2 linked regions of the Styela clava genome follow. The protein of the gene in region 1 purifies or fractionates together with the protein of each later gene. This does not show direct contact. Links are inferred from orthologs where the notes say so. Each region holds a gene or a part of one and is shown on either strand. Other genes may lie near its edges.

Region 1 (9,857 bases):
CGGTTGTCTTTGGAAATCATACCGTCACTGAAATAAATCTAAACACAGCCAATCGTGCTCGTGATGAGACTTACCATAATTTCTTGGGCATAATCCGGGACAAACTCGAAACTATAAATAAAATAACTGGACAAAAGACCGAAGGCCTGAGCTTGGCAAATTTTTATTCCATATTTATAAGCTTTGATATTGCATTACGCTACAGAATCTCAAGTTCTAGATTACTTTCAGCATAATATGACTCAAACAAAACCAAATGAAAGTTATTATTCCGTCTCCAACTCCAAGCATACCTAAAATGGCTTCTAATGCAGCTGTAGTTTCACCGAAGTCAATAGAATAATGACGCAATAAACGTCACTCATTATTCCATAACTAAAGGATTTCTCACAATAACAATCTTGTAAATAGGAACAGTGCTGTCAAAAATATTGTAAATTTGAAGAGTCTATAAAGGATTGTGGATTTAAATTTTGCGCATATGCTAGCCCTGCGCGGGCAATGCATAAATGACCTATTACCTATAAATACCAATAAACACCTATCACCGGAGCAATGGGAGGATGCAAAGCACAAGGATCTATACTCGAAACTTAAAAGCAGACACCACAACCAACCCCACGAAAATATCAATTGGGAGGAGGTTAATCTGCTCAGGAATCGGCCCAAATATACGAACGCTGAAAGGATAATATCTTACCGTATAGTAAAGGACGGCTATATTTTCGGCGATCGAATGGCGAGGCATGAGCCTTAGGCACGGCCCATTCGGGATCATAAAAGTTATGAACTGTAAATTTTGTAGAGATCCGTGTGACAATACTAAGCACATATTTCTGCATTGCAAGATCATAGCGGCATATGTTGCAAGTTTAATAGAATTTCTAAATGAAATTCTATGCGGGACCACCACAATCTCTAGAGAACAAATATTCCTTAATAGTTTCAATGGGCCAAACGAGATTGCGGTTACAAAATGTTTCGTGCTACTCAAACAGGCAATTATACATCTCTCTAGCTATAGAAAGTCGGTACATCGCTCCCACAGACGGAAATATTACAGAAGCCGCCATAACCAAATTTTCGGAATTTCTTCTCGTAATGGAAAAAAAGGTTCACAGATATACAATTTCTCGGCATACAAAATAACTGGAAGGAAATACTTAACGGATATCTTCTGCCATGAAACCGAAGCCGGAATTTCTTCTCGTAATCGAAAAAAGGTTCACAGATATACAATTTCTCGGCATACAAAATAACTGGAAGGAAATACTTAACGGATATCTTCTGCCATGAAACCGAAGCAAAAAAAAAATGGGAAATGATGAATCGGAAGCTTCACGGTGGATGTCATGCTGTGTGCGTGTTACACGTTTTCACACAGTGTGTACGGAAGCCGCGTCGGCGGAAGTTGAGCTGTGCTATGCATGGCATTGACGAAGCCCTGGGCGAATGTCATGCTATTTGGCACATAGTATGTACAGAAGCTCAGGGCCGAAGTTTGTGCCACGTAATGCAGAGCAGATACGGAAGCCGGGGTGGCGGAAGACACTGATCCGAATTTGGGAAAATTCTGATCCGTAAAACTAAAAAAAAAATAATCTATAAACGACCCTGAAATTTTGTAAACATCGTTTTCCATAAAAGAGAGTCATATTTTTTGCACTATTGTGGTTCTTCTCCTGGCTCTTTAAAAACATCTTTCTTTCTATTCCCATTGCTTGACATGGTAATACCATTGGTGTATTCTGGTACCAATTTAAATGAATTCATGTTTGATCACTGTTGATGAAAAAAAAACGTTCTATGAATCTGCCTATCACACTATCGTGACAGACAGAAATAAATATTTTCGCAATCCTGGTGAAGTTTATTGCTAATATTTTAAGTAAATTCAAATGAATTTCCCACAACACCACAACCAGCATGGAATTTCGAAGCATGAGGAAAGAACAGGCATACAACTGGACATAGTCCACAAACGCATTTACTAAAGGAATAAATTTAACAACACTAATACAAAATAACATTCAAATATTTGGAGAATAGAAACAGATAAGTTTTGCATTGCCAATGGCCATTATGCAAACCTCATCTGGCCCAGAGTCACCAGTGGTTTTGAAAACACCACGATTGTAACTTCAAATCCCCCCCCAATAATTTTTGTTATCTTTAATTTACACTACGCAATAAAAACCCTGATCCACAAAAGATTTACCATCTTAAAGCTGTCCTCCGCCTATAGTCCAGTGAAAAGGCAAGGTTGGATATGATAGTCAATATTAATGAGAAGCAGCTTGATTGGGACGGCCGACTGTCTCATTTGATTGACCAGTCCCCTTTAGACTTATTCCATTCTAGTGTACTACAAAAGTTGAAGGAGAAGACCAACAACATATGAAAACAGCTTTGTGTTTCTAGGATATTAGCTCTTACATCTTTCAACCCTGCTGACGTCCAAACTCACTCATGTCTGCTCAAGATCCAATGGAGGTAATGGTGGAGGGTTGCTGACAGCCGACTCTGACATGTCGCCTGGTATCTTGGGCTGTGAACTGATAAATTGGTCTAGTTTCTTGAGTGATGATGAGGACTCGTCTAGATTTTCTACATCAACTTCAACCACAGAGTCTGTTACAACTTGTTCTGTAATTATGGCTTCTGGCACTTCAATAGGTGGATTCGAAAGATTGTCATTAAGAGTTTCCACTGGTGAGGAGAGCTTTTGCTTTTTGCTTGGTATCACGGTGGATGCTGGAGTCTCAATAAGAGTAATCTGTGAAGAAAAAAGAACAGAACAAATAACAACGAATACAAAACTCGCCGAAAAACAATATTACAATTATGAAATTGAAAACGTAATGATAAAAAAAAAATATTAATTCATAGTAATGGTTTTTTGCTTATACAATTTACGAATCACAAATTGCCTTTTACCTTTTCTTTATTTGGTATTTTTTTTGGAGTATCAGGTGCAGGACGCTTGTTACCGGTAGATACTGGATTCTTTGCCGGATGCTTTGGAGCAATTGGCACTCCTGCTTCATTAAATACTTTTCGTTTTATAGCATGTTTGACTTGGCTCCTATAACACAAAACATATGTGTTTTTCAATATGAAATGAATGCCTTGTCTCAAGCCATCAAGTTATAAGACATGGCAACAACTGTTAAAATTTCATTTTGCTTTCCAACTGTAATATATTCAATATAACATTTTACTAGTTGTTCCCGTAGGGTATGTATCAAGTTAGGGTTGGGCCATAATTTTATTCCGATCCTCCTTATTTCAGGTATATTACGACTACGAGTTCGGGGACTGTCTGTTTTAGGCAAGTCCCCTGCCCATAGGTTCTAGTCTCTCTACACAACTTGATGCAAAGTAGGCGAACAAAATTCGTTACCTCCTTATTGGTACACATACTTCTGGAGTGCCAAATTTTGTATGGCATAACATAGGCATTTCAGAAACGTATTTATACTAAAAAGGAATATGCAAATATTTCCATTTAATATATATCCTACATAGTTCTGGTTTTGATAACAGAGCTAACTTTTTCAAGGTCATTTCCAAATTGTTGTACAGCTTGTCGCAGCATCTCCACTTCTTCTTCTGTCCATTTTGAACTGCAAAAATTAAAAAAAATAATTTGTAAATAATTGATTAGAAAATCTCAAAAAATGAATTTATTACCCTGGGACTGCTTCATATTGAGTGTGTAACTGCATTGTTAGCTCTCCAAGACGATTGAAGGCCTGGCCAGCAGCAGCAAAAACCTGGCTGACCTACAATGGAAATTCAACAAATTACAAATTAGAACAGTGGAAGTGGAAACTGGTGGCCTACTTTCTATAATGGCAGCAATGGGCAATATACAGTACTGGGCATGCAAATTACAAATTATAGGTTAATACTGTAATAGACGATGACATAATTCAGAAACTAGCAAATGAGAAAATAATTGTGAAGGAATATTAGGTACGGTACCGGTACGGTATCCATTTTCAACTCTAGATGATTTTCTTGACCACATAGAATACGGTACGGTACAAGCTTTGAATCTCATCATACTGTTATAGGCCTATGGTTTGTTCAGTTTCGTCATTCAGTTATTTGTTTTTAAATGTATGGACTTGACGGGGGAGGAAGCCGTGCCGTAACCGACCAGCGCTTACGTGAACCACCACCCTACGGCGGCGAGGAGTCCAGCAATCCTTTCGCTTCCTCGCGCATAATTAACCCCGCCCGGGATTCGAACCTGCCAGCCCACGCAGGATAAAACATCAATAAATAATACCTTGTTTGCGCTCACAGTTTGAGGCATGTTCATATCCAAAGTTGAAAGCTACTCAGTCGGGCTAACGCTTCAAATTCAACAGCGAGCAGAACAAAACGAAACGCGAACAGCCCCGGGAAAAAACAACAACTTTTGAAGCAAGAGTCATGCCTGGGTGCATTTACCGATGGCTGTTTCCCGACCCTTGAGCTCAAAATTGACTTATCGCAGGGTTGCATAAAACGTCATCGTTTTGCTATATATTTTAACACTTTCCGTGCCACGGGCAGTTTATTTATTTATTTTTTTGCAATTTTTACCATTCCGTGCCATGGTGCAAACGATAGTTCTTCTCTCTTATTTTTTCTCCCTCGTATTTATTTTTTTCTGCGATCCGATTTTTTCATGCACCTAGTCATTTCGTCGATTTTCGGTCACTTGTAGACATACAACATATATGGATTAACTAATACAAACCAGCTCGTCAGTTAAAGATAACTGGTTTTGGCGATACCGTTTGGTGGGTTGCGACCTTCAACTGAGAAGTGTAACAAAACTTGAAGATAACCCGACTTGACCTGTCATTTTGATACAGATTAGTAAGGAGTGGATATCTAATGTACTACAAGGTATAACAGCCCATTATTGCGACTTACCACAAACGGAAAACGTTTAATCCATATCGGGGTCCTTATTCTTTTTCTTTAATTACGATACTAGAAGTATTAAGAATAATTGTAAAAACACACCAAATTGTGATTTATACCCACTCTCCAGCTTTGAAGTTGATGTTTATCAATTTAGTTTATCATTTATTCGACCTATGTTAGACACTATGTTTTCTTTGCCAGTTTTAATAGTCACTATAGTTCACTTCAATCGAAATAAAACTAGCAAAATTTAGTGATTTATCGGGTCTTATAATATTCAAAAAAGTTGAAAAAATGTGAGCAATAGCTTGCTAGCGACTTCTTCTATCTTTTAATACTCAAAAATTTAAATTAGGGCAATAGAGTGCCGACGTATAAGACGTATTTAGGTGTTCATCAGACGACGATATGTGAGGCGTTTTTCGAAACAGCAGGTCAGGAAGTAAAAATACGAAAGGATTTTGAGATCAACTCTCGATCAGTTTAAGTATTGTTACCTTGCTTAAACGATAAACAAAAAATATTATACAGATTATACCTTGTTCTTTTTAGGACGTTTTCAGAAAATCTTTTATAGACAAAGTATATTTGAAAACTTTATTGTGGGAGTCCTTGGAACGTGGGAAAACTAAAGTCAGACTGGAAAATTTTTGACACTGTCAAAGCACATTCACACGCAATTTTGATAGTGCGAAGAGGAAAGTATGTAGGCCTACCTGCAAAACTGTGGTTTAATGCCTCTGTATTCTGGATTGATCCGGATAACCGGTTAACGACAGGTATTTTGCTATCTGATATCCGGATGTTATTGTGACCATTAACCGGATAATAAAGTAGTATAAATAATACACATGCTCATTAGTGATTTTGATATATTTTGTTATGTGACGGTTGACATTCCCCGCGCACACAGCATTTAATAAAAGCTTTTATTTACACTTCTTTGCCTATATTTTAGCTGTCCATGAAATACTGGAATGAACTCCAGTATCACATCACAAAATACACAAAAGAATCGTGATTAATATGTAATAGAATAGCGCATTTGCTTATTTAAACTAGTTATGAAGCTGGAAGTACATGCAAGGCTGTAAGTGTAAACGAATTCAGATGAAAAGCTTTGAAAGGTTGGGTGTGAAGATGGTTCAGTCTGGAGAATGGCGGACCGCGAAGCAATTTTAGGGGGACCGCGAGACAACATCAACTTCGGCCCAGAAGCACTTTGATTTAAAGCAAAATTTTGATGTAATGCTTTTACAGTATTTCTTCAAAGCACGACACGTTCTATCGACATTGTTATGTAACAAGCGTTGGTGAACGTGGCAAATAGCGTAAATCGGAGCGTATGGACCTTTCCCCGAGTATCGACTTCCTTGGTCACTTCGTGACATTGGTCAATCAGCAAGAAGCAAAAAGTGACGTACAATGCTCCCTTTTCGCATCCGCTCAGACACTTTCCTCACCTCAGACAGATTTTCAAGCGTGGTCATAAACATTACCTCGCTTTCGCGTTTTTGAACTCTATTCGTTAGTTTTCTGTTGTGTTTCGGAAACTTAAATATAAATTAGATAATTCAATGATCACTCTGTCTTCCAAGGAGTTTTAATTTAATTACAGTAATAAAAAAATAGTGTAGAAATAGCTGTGATAGACTAGGCTAAAATTCTTTATCGGTAGTTTTAAAAAACAGATTGTTGTATGCGAAGAATCATAATAATGGTTCGAAACACATACCCCGTTTTACAGGCGCCAACTCGCAAAAGCATTCTTAAAATAGCCCCGAAAATTTTGCAATGGTAAAGTATGGGAAGAATTTTTCGGGGGTTAAAGGTCGGGGAAAGGTCCATAGAGGCAAAGCAAAGGAGCTTCAAATCTCGTCTATTGATGGTAGCATCGATTAGCCTAGTGATGCAATCGAAAGAATCGATTGTGTAGCTTGGTATGTGGAATAGGATGGCCCATTGCCATATTTTGATATTAATGAGTTGACAATTACCGGTATCGGTAATTCTGGATGGTCTGAAAAGATTTGTTCCCTATGGCGAAACATGGACTGGGGTTCAATGGGACATGCGCTACAGGTCACAATTCGACAGTGTTTGATACAATAAGTGCTTAGAGACCTAGAGATGCGTTATATTTCGTGTAATATTATGGTTTCTTTCGATCCATGGCCCAATATGGAATATATTCGAGAATCAATATTATTTCCAGATTTAGATTCAAGAAAGGAAATAGTTTTTCTGTGCGTCCATGCTTCCGAAAACAAACAATACAGTAAAACTAATCCCATACCCGACTTGGAATGGTAACCGGACGAGAGGCCGTGGTTCGCCATATGAATAAGCCGTCTTATCGCCTTTCCTCTCCCCCGGGATAAATATGTAAATCCTATCCTATCCTTTTGTGAAAGTTTTTGTTAAAATATCTGAAATATTTCAGTTGAACACTGATTTTAAAAATATTGAATCTTCAAATTTGAATTTACGTATTCGATTCTCCACCGATCCTAATAACCAGTATAATTAATCAAAGCTTTCCACATCTTTTCACGACCCACTAAGATTTCTTTTGCAACCCACAGTTTCGGAACAGCTGGTCTAGACTGATGTCTCTTTTGTATTTTTTTAGCAGGATATCTTAGAGAAAAATGAATTTTAAGTCTTTAAGCATATTCGTTATTGTGTTCTATGCCAGATTGGCAAATTCAGTCGTTTTGGAGTTAGACGACAGATTTCGTGAGGCGAAAAAACAGGGTGAATGGTTGGTAATGTTTTATGCACCATGGTGTGGTCATTGTAAACATCTCGAACCAACTTGGATGGAAGTTGGCGAAGCTATGAAAAATACAATGCCTGTGCATGTAGCAAGGTTGGATTGCACAAAGTATTCATCCCTGTCGAGTGATTTTGGTGTTCGGGGATTCCCTACAATCAAGTTTATATCTGGGGACAACGAATATGAATATCGTGGTGCTAGGACAAAAAGTGACATAATTGCGTTTACTCTCAAGGCAAGAGGTCCGAAACTTACATCTTTAACAAACTCTCTTGAACTCACAAAAACTCGTGAACTGCATTCAGTATTTTTTCTTTATGTCGGAAATGAAGACTCAGACCTTCGTGAAATCTATGGTTCTGTAGCAGATAAATTATTCTTGACACTGAATATGTTTGCAGCATCACCTGACATCATGCCAGATGTGAAAGAAACACCAACGGTTCTGGTTTTTAAAGATGACACTTATTTTAGAATGCCCCTGTCATCTCAAAGCATAAAAAAGGCACATCTTACGCATTGGATGTTGTCTGAGCAGCTACCCGATTACAATGAGCTAACAGGTAGCTCTTACCATTCCCTCAAAGGTACACATAAACAATTTGCTATTGCTGTTCTTGCTGAAAAGGATTACAAATATTTGGACACTATTGCAAAAGATATAGCTACATCACGAAACCCATTATTCCACCCTAAATTTATATTTTGCTGGGTATTGGGAGATAGCATCATAAATAAGATAACTTATAGTTCGATCCCAACTCCGAATTTTATAGTTTTTGATCCAAGTACATACGAGTATTTCACCATGCGTAGTGACTCTGATGAAACCAAAATTGTAAAATCGGACATCACTAGGTTCTTGAGCAAAGTTATTGAAGGAGAAATTGCTTCACAAGGTGGATCTGGCGTTTTCCAGCAAATAAAACGTTTTGTGTCTGACACAACAAATATAGTCATAAATTTCTTTAAAGAAAGTCCGATTGTCGCTAGTCTTGTTATTGGCATACCAACATTTGTGATCACTTTTTTATGTTATTGTCTTTGTACAATGGAAGATTCCGAAGCTGGAGATTACCATACAGACTCCGAAAACGATTCTGGTGAAGATGACAAAGAAGAGGAAGAAAGTGAGATGATTCCAGAGTATCAAGATGATACAGATAAAAATGTGAGAAAAAGAAATGTTGAACAGGACTCCCAGGATGAAGAGTCACAGGCTGAAGAATCTCAAGATGAAGAAGAGCAGACAGCAATGGATGAAGATGATACAAAAGTTGAGACTAAAAAATATAAATAAGTTCAATCACTGTGACTGCTCTTACATCTAGCCAATTGTCATGATTCCACCTTATTTCAGTCAAACCAAACTGCAATACACATTTTAAATCGGATGATAAATTTTCATTTAGATATCTTACTGAAGGAATCATATTGTGGTCCATACACTGATACTTGCAAACACAAAGTTTCAATTATATTTCACTGTTATTTTGTATCTGTAAGTGTGATTGCTTTTGACAATAGCTTGTTCGACTGAAACAAGGTGATCTTGACTTTTGGAATTTAACACGCATGATTGAGCCAAAACTTGTCTCCTCTCTATGCATATTAGTGAGATTTTAGGATTGAGGATAAGCAGTCAATAGAGATCATCTGTACAGTGTGAAGTGTTATATGTCGTGAAACTGAAATTTTTAGTGTTATTCTTCAAACCACTTTATATGTTCTGTATCAAACTATCAATTATTTATTGATGTTGTGCTGCTCATATGTATTGGTGTTGTTAATGTATTCGCACCTTCCTTTTGTTATATTCAAGGCCTACACAATGGCCATTCACAGGATATTTGCCTGGCATTACAAGATATGCACAAGGGACTGTCTGTTTTTACGATTTTGGAATATAAAAATTTGTCCGTCTTAATCGGACTGTACTTTAACATTGGAAAAATAAAATTAGAGGTTGATATAGGATGAGGTGTGTGCTTTTCCTTATGCACAAGTTCAAAATTATTTGCACTTCTTGCCTTCATACAAACATTCAATGATTTCTATTTGTTTACAAAATTTCAAACAACTCTTTGAAAGCTACTCGGTTGTAATCTGGGAGTTTAATATGTTTTCTTGTTTGTCTGAACAATGGTATTTT
Region 2 (10,783 bases), on another chromosome or scaffold:
CCGCCAACTGTCTGGGTGACATATTTTTACAATAGAATTCAGACAAATATAGGAATCTTCTTTCTAGTGAGTTATTGGCGATGAGGGATTTCTCGGTAGATCAGATCGTTCAACCATATTCTCGTATTTATCCCGGTGAGAGGATTAGAACTGGGCATTTCGAATAGTAAATTATTGAATCTTGAAAATTTCGAATCGCCGCCATGTTTTTTTGCCGCCAAAGGTCTGGGTGAATTTTTACCCATCGATCTTAAGATCAGTAAGTATGTTGGTAGGTATTTGTCTGTCTGTCTGTTAGATGCACGCGATATCTCACGAAAGCAAGGTTGAATCTGCTCCAAATTTTGCATGTGCATTCATCATAGCTCGGATCAGAAGCCTATTGATTTTCGATGAATTATTTCGTATAATTAGCGATTTATTAATTAATTAGTGATGGGACACATGGTGTCACTATTGCGTAAGAGCGCTGTTTTGGGAATCCCCTAACTTTCGATCGATAAGTCTTCGGTCTCCGACCGATATTCTCGTTTATTTATTGAAACATGTTTATCAATGTATGTGAACGCTCGGCAACTGAGTGGAGGGTTCGATGTTTCAAGTAATTTTTGTGCCTTGAAGACCTTTACCAATAAAAAAGTCACATACGATTGAATATCTTTCGAGATTGGATTCTGAAATTGTCCACCTTTACGAGGCTCGTCGGTGAGACAACTTAATCATATTATAAGAATGGCCTTCGTCCGATCATGCCTGCTGTGGGAATAATTAACTTTTTTAAGGCGCGGACTTGGTAAAGACTCGTTGTTTGGTAATAGCTAAACTGCCTCCTTGCTGATTCCTATTTTCGCGTCAGGTGTTGTCTTTCATTGGACACGAAATGGGCCTGTGAATCGTTTTAAATATTATGATACTGTTGTTAAGATTCTTTTTTGTGATAAAAAATTATATTTTTCGTTAGAAGGTATAAATACTTTTATTTACAGTATTTCAAAATTTTTTTATGAATCGTGATATTGCATCCAATTGCTAGCTGTATTATTTTTTATTCATGAGAACACGTTTTTTTATCCACCAAGCGTGAATTGTTACAGAAAAGAGACTCCGGGCACTGTCAAGTACGAAAGGGGTTAACCATGTGCAACGAACAAAAAAGCGTTCATATGGGACTATCGTGTGCGCTGCTTCAACTATTTGAATGTGTGAATATTTGTGCATATAATATGAAATGTTATGCTTTTAATTGTAGCCCTAAGGGAATGGAAAGCCAATAAGACGGGCACCGCTGCCTCTCGTCGGGTTTGGAATTAGTTAGCCAGTTATGTGTTTTTCAGATGCGCGGACTTTATGGTGGAGAAAGCCGTAACCCAATGGCGGCGAGAAGTCCAGCAATTTTTTCGCACACAATTATCCCCGCATGGGATTCAAACCTGCGAACCCACGCAGTGTAATCAGGGTGCGGTGGCGAGTGTATTCCTAACGCTTAGCACAATGCGCCACACCACTGAGTCAATCGTGCTTCATTTTAGTTTACTTTTCACAATAAAAATGCGTTATTATGAAATCATCGTCGACACGACGCACGAGGTAATCTGCAGAGCAAATTTCTGTCAGTGGGTGGAGGAATAATAAGAATGGAAGACGGTTCATCAATTTGATTTTTTATATCTCTTTTGCTAACTGACCGTCTTATCTCTTGGATGGCTGGATTGCTCGCCGCCGTTGGGTGGTTCACGTAACCGCTGGCCGGTTATGGCTTCCTCTACCATCAAGTCCATGCTTCCGAAAACAAGTAACTAACTAATCCCATACCCGACATGGAATGGTAACCGAACCGTGGTTCGCCATATGGTTAAGCCGTGTCATCGACTCTTCTCTCTCCCGGGATAATTATGTCAACCCTATCCTAACCTAACTGAGAAGAAAACGAAAAATATGACGAGGCCGCACGCCATCTTTCCCCGTATTATGATGAAATAAAAGCTAATTAATGTAAAGTATGGTCAATCGTTTTCTATTCTACTGAAATAAATGCATTCCTTGTGATTCTATGGCAGGTCGTCTATACTCTATGGAAATTTCTGTGCTTCACTGGTGCCCCAAACTTTTTGTTCGTGTGGCGCCAAATTAGGAAGGAAAAAAATCACGGCACACTTAAAACGAGAAATAAATTGCTGCCTTCAACTTCAATAAAACTCAATTTTGTGATTGTTAATGTGTACTTTTTGCGTTTTAAAGTTTGTAAACATTTAGGCCCAAGTAGGGTTACCATATTTTTTGACTTCAAAGCGGGACGCCTCCAAAGACACGACCCCGTAGCTGTGATCCTGTAATTTTACAGTTTCCAATTTTACTACATAGGCCTGAATTTAAAGCGATCCCGGCTGTCTTTCATTGACCATATTGTCATCGAGAGTTCATGCGCATATTCTCTGTCCAAATATCGGGTTCAGTTGGAAAAATAGAAAGGAATAGACGCTAACGATACAAAATTACAAATGATCCAAATTAACTTTTTCGCCCAAGCATGCTTTTCTGTAGATAACACCTTCAAAAAGACGTTGTTCAATGTTGCATTCGCGTGAACGTCCGAACAGGACCAATTAGAACTGATTTTACATATAACAACGAAACAAACAAAATAACGCATTCACCTTCAGTAAGTAGGCTAGCGTTGCGCTACACAGCAATAACGGTAACGTGAACATGTCCGTGTATTAGGCTGGATGACTGAATGCCAAAGCGGGACTTAGATGTCATTATTAGGATTCGCATTTCGGCACATGCACCGACACATAATTATTATTCCACGTGTTTCGCAATCTTCATTGTAAAAGTAAGTTTAGCCCGTGAATATTACTTTCTCGTGTTCATGTATACTGTTTAGTATTTTTTTCCACTTGTGTGAGTGTAAGTGAATGGGCACAAACGCTGGTTACAACGTTCGCTATAAACATTTCTTTAGGTTTTGCCCAAGTTCCCGGTCTTTCTGTCGCCACTGTCTCTGTATTCTCTCTGTATCTCTATGTTGTATACGAAAGATCGAAATAAAATTGTATTGTATAAACACAATAAATAAAATATTTAATCATATTTGGTTAAGTTTAATAAAATAATTTAAATTTCCCGGTGCATTTAGCAACTCGGCGCGGCTACAATCAGCGCTTGCTTGTTTTGCTTAATGGTTAATACACATATATACACGTAAATATAACATTATTACCATAGTACAGTGGTTCTAAAATAGTGGGCGCGCCTCACAAGGGGCGTGAAGCTAATTTTAAAAAATATATTTGTTAGATTTGATCTTATCCGCCTCATTTTGGATATTTACTTTCTATCCACGTATTTTCAACGTGTTTCGCTCTACTATCTGTTATTTGTAGCTTATTGTTATCTAGTTATTTTTGAGGTGGGGTGCGAGACTTGACAAACTCTAAAAAGGGGGCGCGGCTCAAAAAGTTTATAGTATGTAGCAGTAATATCCCTACACCTCCCTAATGTTGAGGTATGACACCACACTTTAATTCTGAACATAAATAAAAATGTATTTGAATATTCAGAAAGTGGCTCATATGCCGGTGAAGATGATTAGTCAAACACATAACACATTTATATAAGCTACAAATAATTTTATTACTAATAACAAAATATCTACCACCCCTTTATTTTGAAACACCCATCTCAAACGAAAAGCTGGGGAAAATACTGGTATGTAGGCTGTAGATTAGTCAGTGGGGTAGTTATCGAGAAAGGGTGTGGATTAAAGAAGCTTGCGATACCTTGAGTAAAAATATTATAAATATCTTGAATTGTCTGTACTCGCCGTTTTGAAGGTGAACGTACATAACGGATTTTTCAATTTGTGAAAAAATAATTGACTACGGACTCGGCAAGAATACGCGAACCTGCTGGTATTGAATCCGAATCTTGAAAATGTGGGAATTCGATATCGAATCTCGTTCCATTCCTAAGTACGATCAAATTATATTTTAAAAAATTAAAATATGTCTCGTTGGGTTATCGTCAAGATACCTAGAGGCGTTGCTATGAACATATGAATACTCAGATTTTCAGAAACACAGTTTGTATTGGTAAATACAAATAGATCAGCATGTAGCAGCATCAACTTATAAACTCCAAAGACTATCGCGCATTTGTGCGCATGTTACAGTTTCATTACTTATGACGTAATAGATATATTTGCGCAAACCATTCTTATGCATGTATTATGACATCATCATGATGCAAAAAAATAAACGTACTTGACTGTAAAAAGTATTTCGTAAATGATAAAGTCTCAGTGTCTGTCAAAGAAATGAATAATGCATTCCACACGATATCAGATTGAATATTATTAGCTAAGTGTTTTAGAAGTACCACAGTCCGAAAGTTCAATACATTCGTGTGTTTTATTTGTGGACCAAGCCTCGTTAAACCGCCTCTTTCGTAGAGTCGTAGACATGTTTACATTGAGAATAATTTCATCGAATTTATTTCTGCGCTCATGTAGAAAACACCAGTTTTGTATTTTTCGTGTGTATGTGCTGCGGTCACATGATATTTTTTAAATGCAATTTTGCGGTATTTGCAGTACGACATGAATTCATGCGCCTTTTCCAGCACCATTTTGCTCTATTCTTGAACGATTTGATGAAAACCGCACATAATCTGGCTTGCTATTAACAATCCTCCCGCCAAACAAGATAGATGAAAACGAATGCCTAAAAACCTCGGATAGCTTCGACAGCGAAGTAAGTATGCAGAGAGATTTAAGATAGTGGTATATATCAGTGACTACTTCTATCTGGCTTTGTTCGGAGCAAAAGGCACGAGTAAGCGTAGTGTTACGTCATTGAGCAAAAAAACTTGGACTGGCTACGCTCTTGTTTGTAGCGACGAGTTGGCAACTTTTTGTCAATTTTTGTCAAAAATGTCGATTGTTCGCGCTTTTTGCTTCGATTAATTATGCAATAACGATATGTAGTGAGCTAGCCTACTTCATATTTGGTAGAATTAGAATCTTGCCGGGGCTAAGGGTTCAGAAGTAAATTTTTTTTCAACATTTTTTCCAAATGCAATTTTTCGGGGTTTGCTGTAAGACATGATTTTATATGCCTTTTCCAACCCCACATTCACCGAAAACCGGACGTTTCTTGGGTTGCTACCAATAATCCTTCCTCCAGACTCTACTAAATGAACCAACCGAGATAGATGAAATTGCGCCTTTGTATACCTTGGATAACTTCGACAGCGAATTCGCTTTAGGCTTTAGAGCTGACATGGACAAGCTACGGCCCGAGGGCCAAATCGGGCCCGTTTGGTAATTCAATATGGCCCGCGGATGCTTTCACAACCAAACTAAAACCTAATTTTCATGTTTTAGTTGAAAACAAAAGTTTAGTTAAAAAACAAGTTAAACTCAATTTTGTCACGAGGTTCATTATTTTACACTTTTATTACACAAATATTATTCATAAAATGTAATTTTTAACGTCACACTTACATGGCCCCGGGTCCAAAAACTTTTCTCACTTCTGTTTGTCACCATATATGTGACCGCTTTTATCTGGCTGACCTGAGTAAGTGTGAGCGTCCTATTAAACCAACCAACCCCCCCCCCCCCCCCCCCGCCCCCAATATTGGACTGTCTACGCTCTTGGTGACAACCAATGCGCTCGGAATTACAGTAACAACATTGGGCCTAAGAAGATTTCTCTTGCATCTATTCAGCTTTTTTTCAATATCAAGACTGCATTATTCAATTGTTATTTTAATTCGACAACAATAACCATTATTGTAACAGAAGTTGGCAATTTTATTGCCGAGCCTTAATCTATAGTACCAATTTAATATTTTGGTGAGCAGGCGTGTGGAATTATATATTATTTTGCTCGATTCAGGCCTTATACTAAATCTATATAATTCCTCATTCTAACTAATGAACACTAACAACGTTTATGATCAATTATTTCCGTTTCATATTATCGGAGGCATGATCGGGTACATTTTAGCTAACACAATATTCGATTTGGGGCAGTTGAGTTTTTCCTGTTTTTTACACTTTTTATTTTTGAGATCCTGCAAAACAGAAAAAACATTAATGATTAAAAGCAGTTGTTATGTAGATCATATTTGCCAAAATAATTTAATAAGCTTTATTTCATATTCAAAAATACGATGAAAACATCGCGAGTTAGGCGAAATTACATTATGGAGCGCTGTGCTGAACTATCGACAAGTATGCTTATCGTTAATTTGCGCATCACGTGACATTCAACGGCGAGGTGCCTGGACGTTTTTTAATGGCGGCGGTCTAGTGACGCAATGGCGATGGAATATACGTGATTTGTCCTTAGTTACCGATATTAATTCAATAATTTTGGGTGGAAAATGGAGAAATTGAAAATGTTTAAGAAAAAGCAACGAAACGGAGAGGGTGAATGGATTAGTTGTTTCGCCGGAGATCAAAAAGTCAACGCGGAATTGAAGAAATTGACAAATTCACCTGGGTGGGTTGCGGCAACCCGAAAGTTGTTGCCAAGGTAAATGATGACGTCACTGTGAGGTCATTAAGAATTGTTGTTGTGTGATGTCACTGTGCTTGCTCAACCGTGTCTTGTGATTTTGATCACCCTTGGACGTGCTTTTTGTCGAAATTTTGAAAATTTTACCCGGCGAGCAAGTCTTACAAACGGCTTTTCCCGGGAAACCATTTTGAACCGAATTTACGCAACGTAGACGCGGGAAAGTTTTTTTTTGACAGTTTGGGTTGCAGACCCCTATTTTTTTTGAAAGGGTTTTGGGATTTCCTAAATGCGGAAGTCAATTGTGTGTTGATTTAATTTTATTAATTATTTTTACCCTTCTTTGAAACAAAGCTAGGGAAGCATTGGGTAGTAAGGCAATACAGCAATAGCTTCATCTGTGTGTGCATTTGTAGACATAAGTACTGATGCACAATAAGCTATTGTCTCACTCAATTTTGCAATTGGTGTTTGTCCTGGCTGTTCTCTCAGGTCAGCAGGTATCTTCTGATACAAATGTCTTGAAGCCTACCGTAACACCTTTAATATTCGTGAACATAAAGCTATTATAGCCAAGTCTTTATAGTTTTAGTTGGTCTTGCTTCTAGTCTAGATGTCTCTTTAAAAAATGATATGAATTGTTCACAAATACTGTTTCTTATTCTTCCTTTATAAAAGTTTGCTCAAATCTTTGTCGTATAAATACACCCGGCTAAATTATTTACATCAGGGTACAAATGGCAATGGCTGAAATTTCATAAAATTATGCTGACGAATTATCTGCCAGTAAATGCAGTTCAACACTAGACACAAAACATTTGATTTCAATTTGATTAATAAAGAGGCAATTCCATATATGTAATGAATTTCAAAATATAATAGGAAAATTCTGCGCAATGTACCCTCTGGAGTATAGTTCGAAGTCGAAATGTTTCTGCAGGATAGAAGACTGAATTATTTTTGCATTTCACTAAATATTGTTCTATAAAAGCAATAACCTAATTTTTAATTCGCTAAAAAAAAATAAAGAGTTTGTAAAAAAATTGGAATTGACCTAACAATCCCAGTTAAAGTTGTTAATTAAACACTTTGTGTGGTAAATGTGTTGGCGAATTTAAATTCTGAAAATCAACATTGAAAATATGAGAAAAATATGCTTAAAAATAGCGCATGATTGTCACCAAGTATATTCATGTCGGAAATAAGTGAAGCACAACTGGTGTATAGCAAAACGATTTAATTTGCCGAAGTTTCGAATTTCTATTCAAAAAAAGTGCTTAAAAAGTTGTTCTTCAGTATGCTTTTATAATTGTCCGAAAAGACTTGTTTGACATTTATTTAATTCTATATATCGGCTTGGTCGGCAAATCAATCGCGAATTCATGCCATTATAGAATATATCTGATCTTATTTATATATATACAGGGTGTCCTTAAAGTCTTGAAATTTTTTAAAGGGAATTTGTCGATACCATGTATTGTTTTGACCCTCACAGATGTATTGAATGAAGTAAAAATACCTGAACAATTACTGATTAAAAATAACAAACATAGTTAAGATATATTGAGAACTGACTTCATAACAGAATTAAAATGGTGAAGGGACTTTATGGACACTCTGTATAGGGAACCAGTGGTTTCTGTCTGGCAACTTTTCCCACAACTTACAAAGAAATATTATTCATTCTTACTCACTCGTAACATTATTCGTACTCTTTCTGCTTCAAGTTGTTGTTGTTTGATTTTTAATACCTATCATTTATTTTTTAGCAACAAAAGTCCAGGAAGCAGTCGAGCATCAACACCTTCAAGTCTATCAACAAACAGGTAAAAAAACTGATGAGTCAGCATTTTAAACATGTGTTCACCCCGAATAAGGCCCTGTATAAGCATTTACTGAATATATTTTCGGGAAGGCTGACACCTTTCTAGTTCGGCATTGGGTATTTATTACATTTAGGGTGGCGAGGTTGTAGGCATGGGTTTAAAACCAAGATAATTAATCCGCAACCCCCTCAACACATTTGAGCCCCACACTCTTTCATGCTGTACCAGGTGCGTAGCCAGAGGGGGTGAAGGGAGCATCCTTTTGAAACGTAAAAAAGGCATTTTTAGCTTTCAGACTCTCAAGATTCATTAAAAGCCGCTTATTCTGGCCTCCGACCGGACCTGCTAGCTCATGCTGTCTAACTTGGCAATCAGAAAATCCAGAGCCCCCCCCTCCCCCCCTTTTGAAAATTCGTAGATACGCCTATGGGCTACAGTACAAAATGATTTGGATTCTGGGTATATAAAACAGTTAAAATTGAACATAATTAATGCCATACTACAATTTTCGTTTTAATAATTTATAGATAAAATTCTGAATTCTTGAAATCTACTTAATAAATTTTATTTGAACCTCTTTGCTCCAAAGTAGGCTTTAGACAAGTAGCTAACAATATGTCAGTATCTACTTTGTGTTTAGAATAGCCCGACTCGTTTATTCCACCCTGAGTGAGGTATAGATCATTGGTTTTGAGTCTGAGATATGTTTTGACACCAAAGAGCCCAATGTTTATATATCGGGCATTATATTTTGCTGCAAAATGATCCACCTGGACAAAAATATTCAAAGTTATTTGGAAGAATAATCCGATATACCTCCCCAAATAAAAAACAAGAACACTTCTGAAAACCTTTGTAAAAAAAACAAACAATCTGAGCTATCTTGTGGGTGCAATACATTGGGAGCGAATATGTGGTTTTCCATCTTTTAGAATTGTATTACCCCATCATGTACGAGTATCTGCTTGTCTTGAGTCTTGTTCAGAGTGAAACAATGAAAACTTTAAGCTATTTTGCGATTGAGTTTAATTTTAGCACGGGGTTCATTGTTTTCCACTTTTACTTTTGTAACACTGTAAATATTGTTCATAAAATGTATCTTTTTATGTCACACTCACATGGCCCCCTAGCCTAGGTGGGCAAATTTTTTGGCCCCGAGTCTAGATGTATTTGATGGGAAAGAAATTCATAATCGACCAGTTGTCATGTGAACCACTCTGTGTATCTTGGAGTTTTGCGTCTAATTATCCCATTTGAATTTATATATGTGCGATTAGAAAACATATCTCTAACCTGATCGTAATCGCATTTAAATTTGAAAAATAAACTTTCAAATAATGTTTATTTTTCTTTCAAACTTCAGCAAATCTTCCAAAAAATTAAAGAACAAGAAAAAAGACAAAGAATCAAAAAATGAGAAGAAAAAATTTAAAATGGTTTTGGAGAAAGATGAAGAATTCGAAATTGATTATGTGTCTCCTGAAGAGGATGAAGAGGTGGGTGTGTCAGAGGCGTGGCTTAGAAAGATATGGGTGTGGCCTAAAATGTGGGTGGGGTAGAGGCATGTGTACTGTGTTGAATTGCAAATATGTGTGACATAGGCATATTTACCTATTATTGGGGTGTCTGAGGAGGTTGGTGTGTTAGGAGTCTGGACATAATTTACTCCTCTTTTGACAATGTTGTACTCCAATTGGGTGTGACATAGGTGTGTCCGCTATAGAGGGCTGATCTTCATACCTTTCACATATCGACAAAAATTTTTACTTTAAACAACATCGTGGCATAGATGTGCCAACTCTATTATGTATGATTATGTATCGCCTGTGTAGGAAAGGGTGGGTGTGTCAGAGGCGTGGCTTAGAAAAAAATGGGTGTGTTATGGCTGTGCCCTAAAATGTGGGTGGAGTAGAACCATTTTTTGCTGTAGCGTTATTCTAGCAGCTTATTTTGTATATTAACAATATTTTTGACAATATTTTGCCACAAATAGTGTGGTAAGGGCATGTCTCAATAAATGGGCGTGCCATAGGTGTGTTCACTCTCCTAGTTAAATTTAAATTGCGAACAGTTTTCACTCTTACTGTAGAGTGAATCAACTTGATGTGCTTGGAGTCATGTTTTTGTTGAAAATTTAATTTTTTTGACTCAGGCCACCACTGAAGACTCAGATGTTGACAGCAAAGGACTAAACTCGGATGATTCTGATCATGATTTTAGTTTTGATGAAGCAGAAGAAGATGATGTCTCCTCATTGGGTAAGAAAGTGGGTGTGTCGGGGGTGTGATGTATTCTGACTTGGGAATAGAATAATCTTTATTTTAAAGGTGTCAGTGGTTGACCAAATTGTCACTCAGATAAATGGCATGGTGAAAAAGGTTTTTACCAAGAGATGATCATTTTCTATCAAGTATTTTTTCCAACCAGTCA

Evidence for each region.
Region 2: the proteins of BPTF-associated chromatin complex component 1-like (region 1) and nucleosome-remodeling factor subunit BPTF-like purify together in Homo sapiens (affinity purification with mass spectrometry; 5 studies listed by BioGRID and IntAct, with this or other methods). This does not show direct contact. The link is inferred for Styela clava from reciprocal best matches to the Homo sapiens genes BACC1 and BPTF.

What each region holds. Positions count from the first base shown.
Region 1 is NC_135258.1:20,123,946-20,133,802, forward strand, and holds BPTF-associated chromatin complex component 1-like, read right to left. Parts: upstream 4,473-9,857; 5' UTR 4,331-4,472; coding exon 4,298-4,330; intron 3,786-4,297; coding exon 3,694-3,785; intron 3,627-3,693; coding exon 3,525-3,626; intron 3,086-3,524; coding exon 2,938-3,085; intron 2,777-2,937; coding exon 2,468-2,776; 3' UTR 1,848-2,467; downstream 1-1,847. Other genes in the region: protein disulfide-isomerase TMX3-like, read left to right, coding at 7,578-9,005. UniProt on the Homo sapiens protein: Component of chromatin complexes such as the MLL1/MLL and NURF complexes.
Region 2 is NC_135262.1:1,333,265-1,344,047, reverse strand, and holds the start of nucleosome-remodeling factor subunit BPTF-like, read left to right. Parts: upstream 1-6,286; 5' UTR 6,287-6,393; coding exon 6,394-6,545; intron 6,546-8,296; coding exon 8,297-8,353; intron 8,354-9,716; coding exon 9,717-9,849; intron 9,850-10,505; coding exon 10,506-10,611; intron 10,612-10,783. UniProt on the Homo sapiens protein: Regulatory subunit of the ATP-dependent NURF-1 and NURF-5 ISWI chromatin remodeling complexes, which form ordered nucleosome arrays on chromatin and facilitate access to DNA during DNA-templated processes such as DNA replication, transcription, and repair.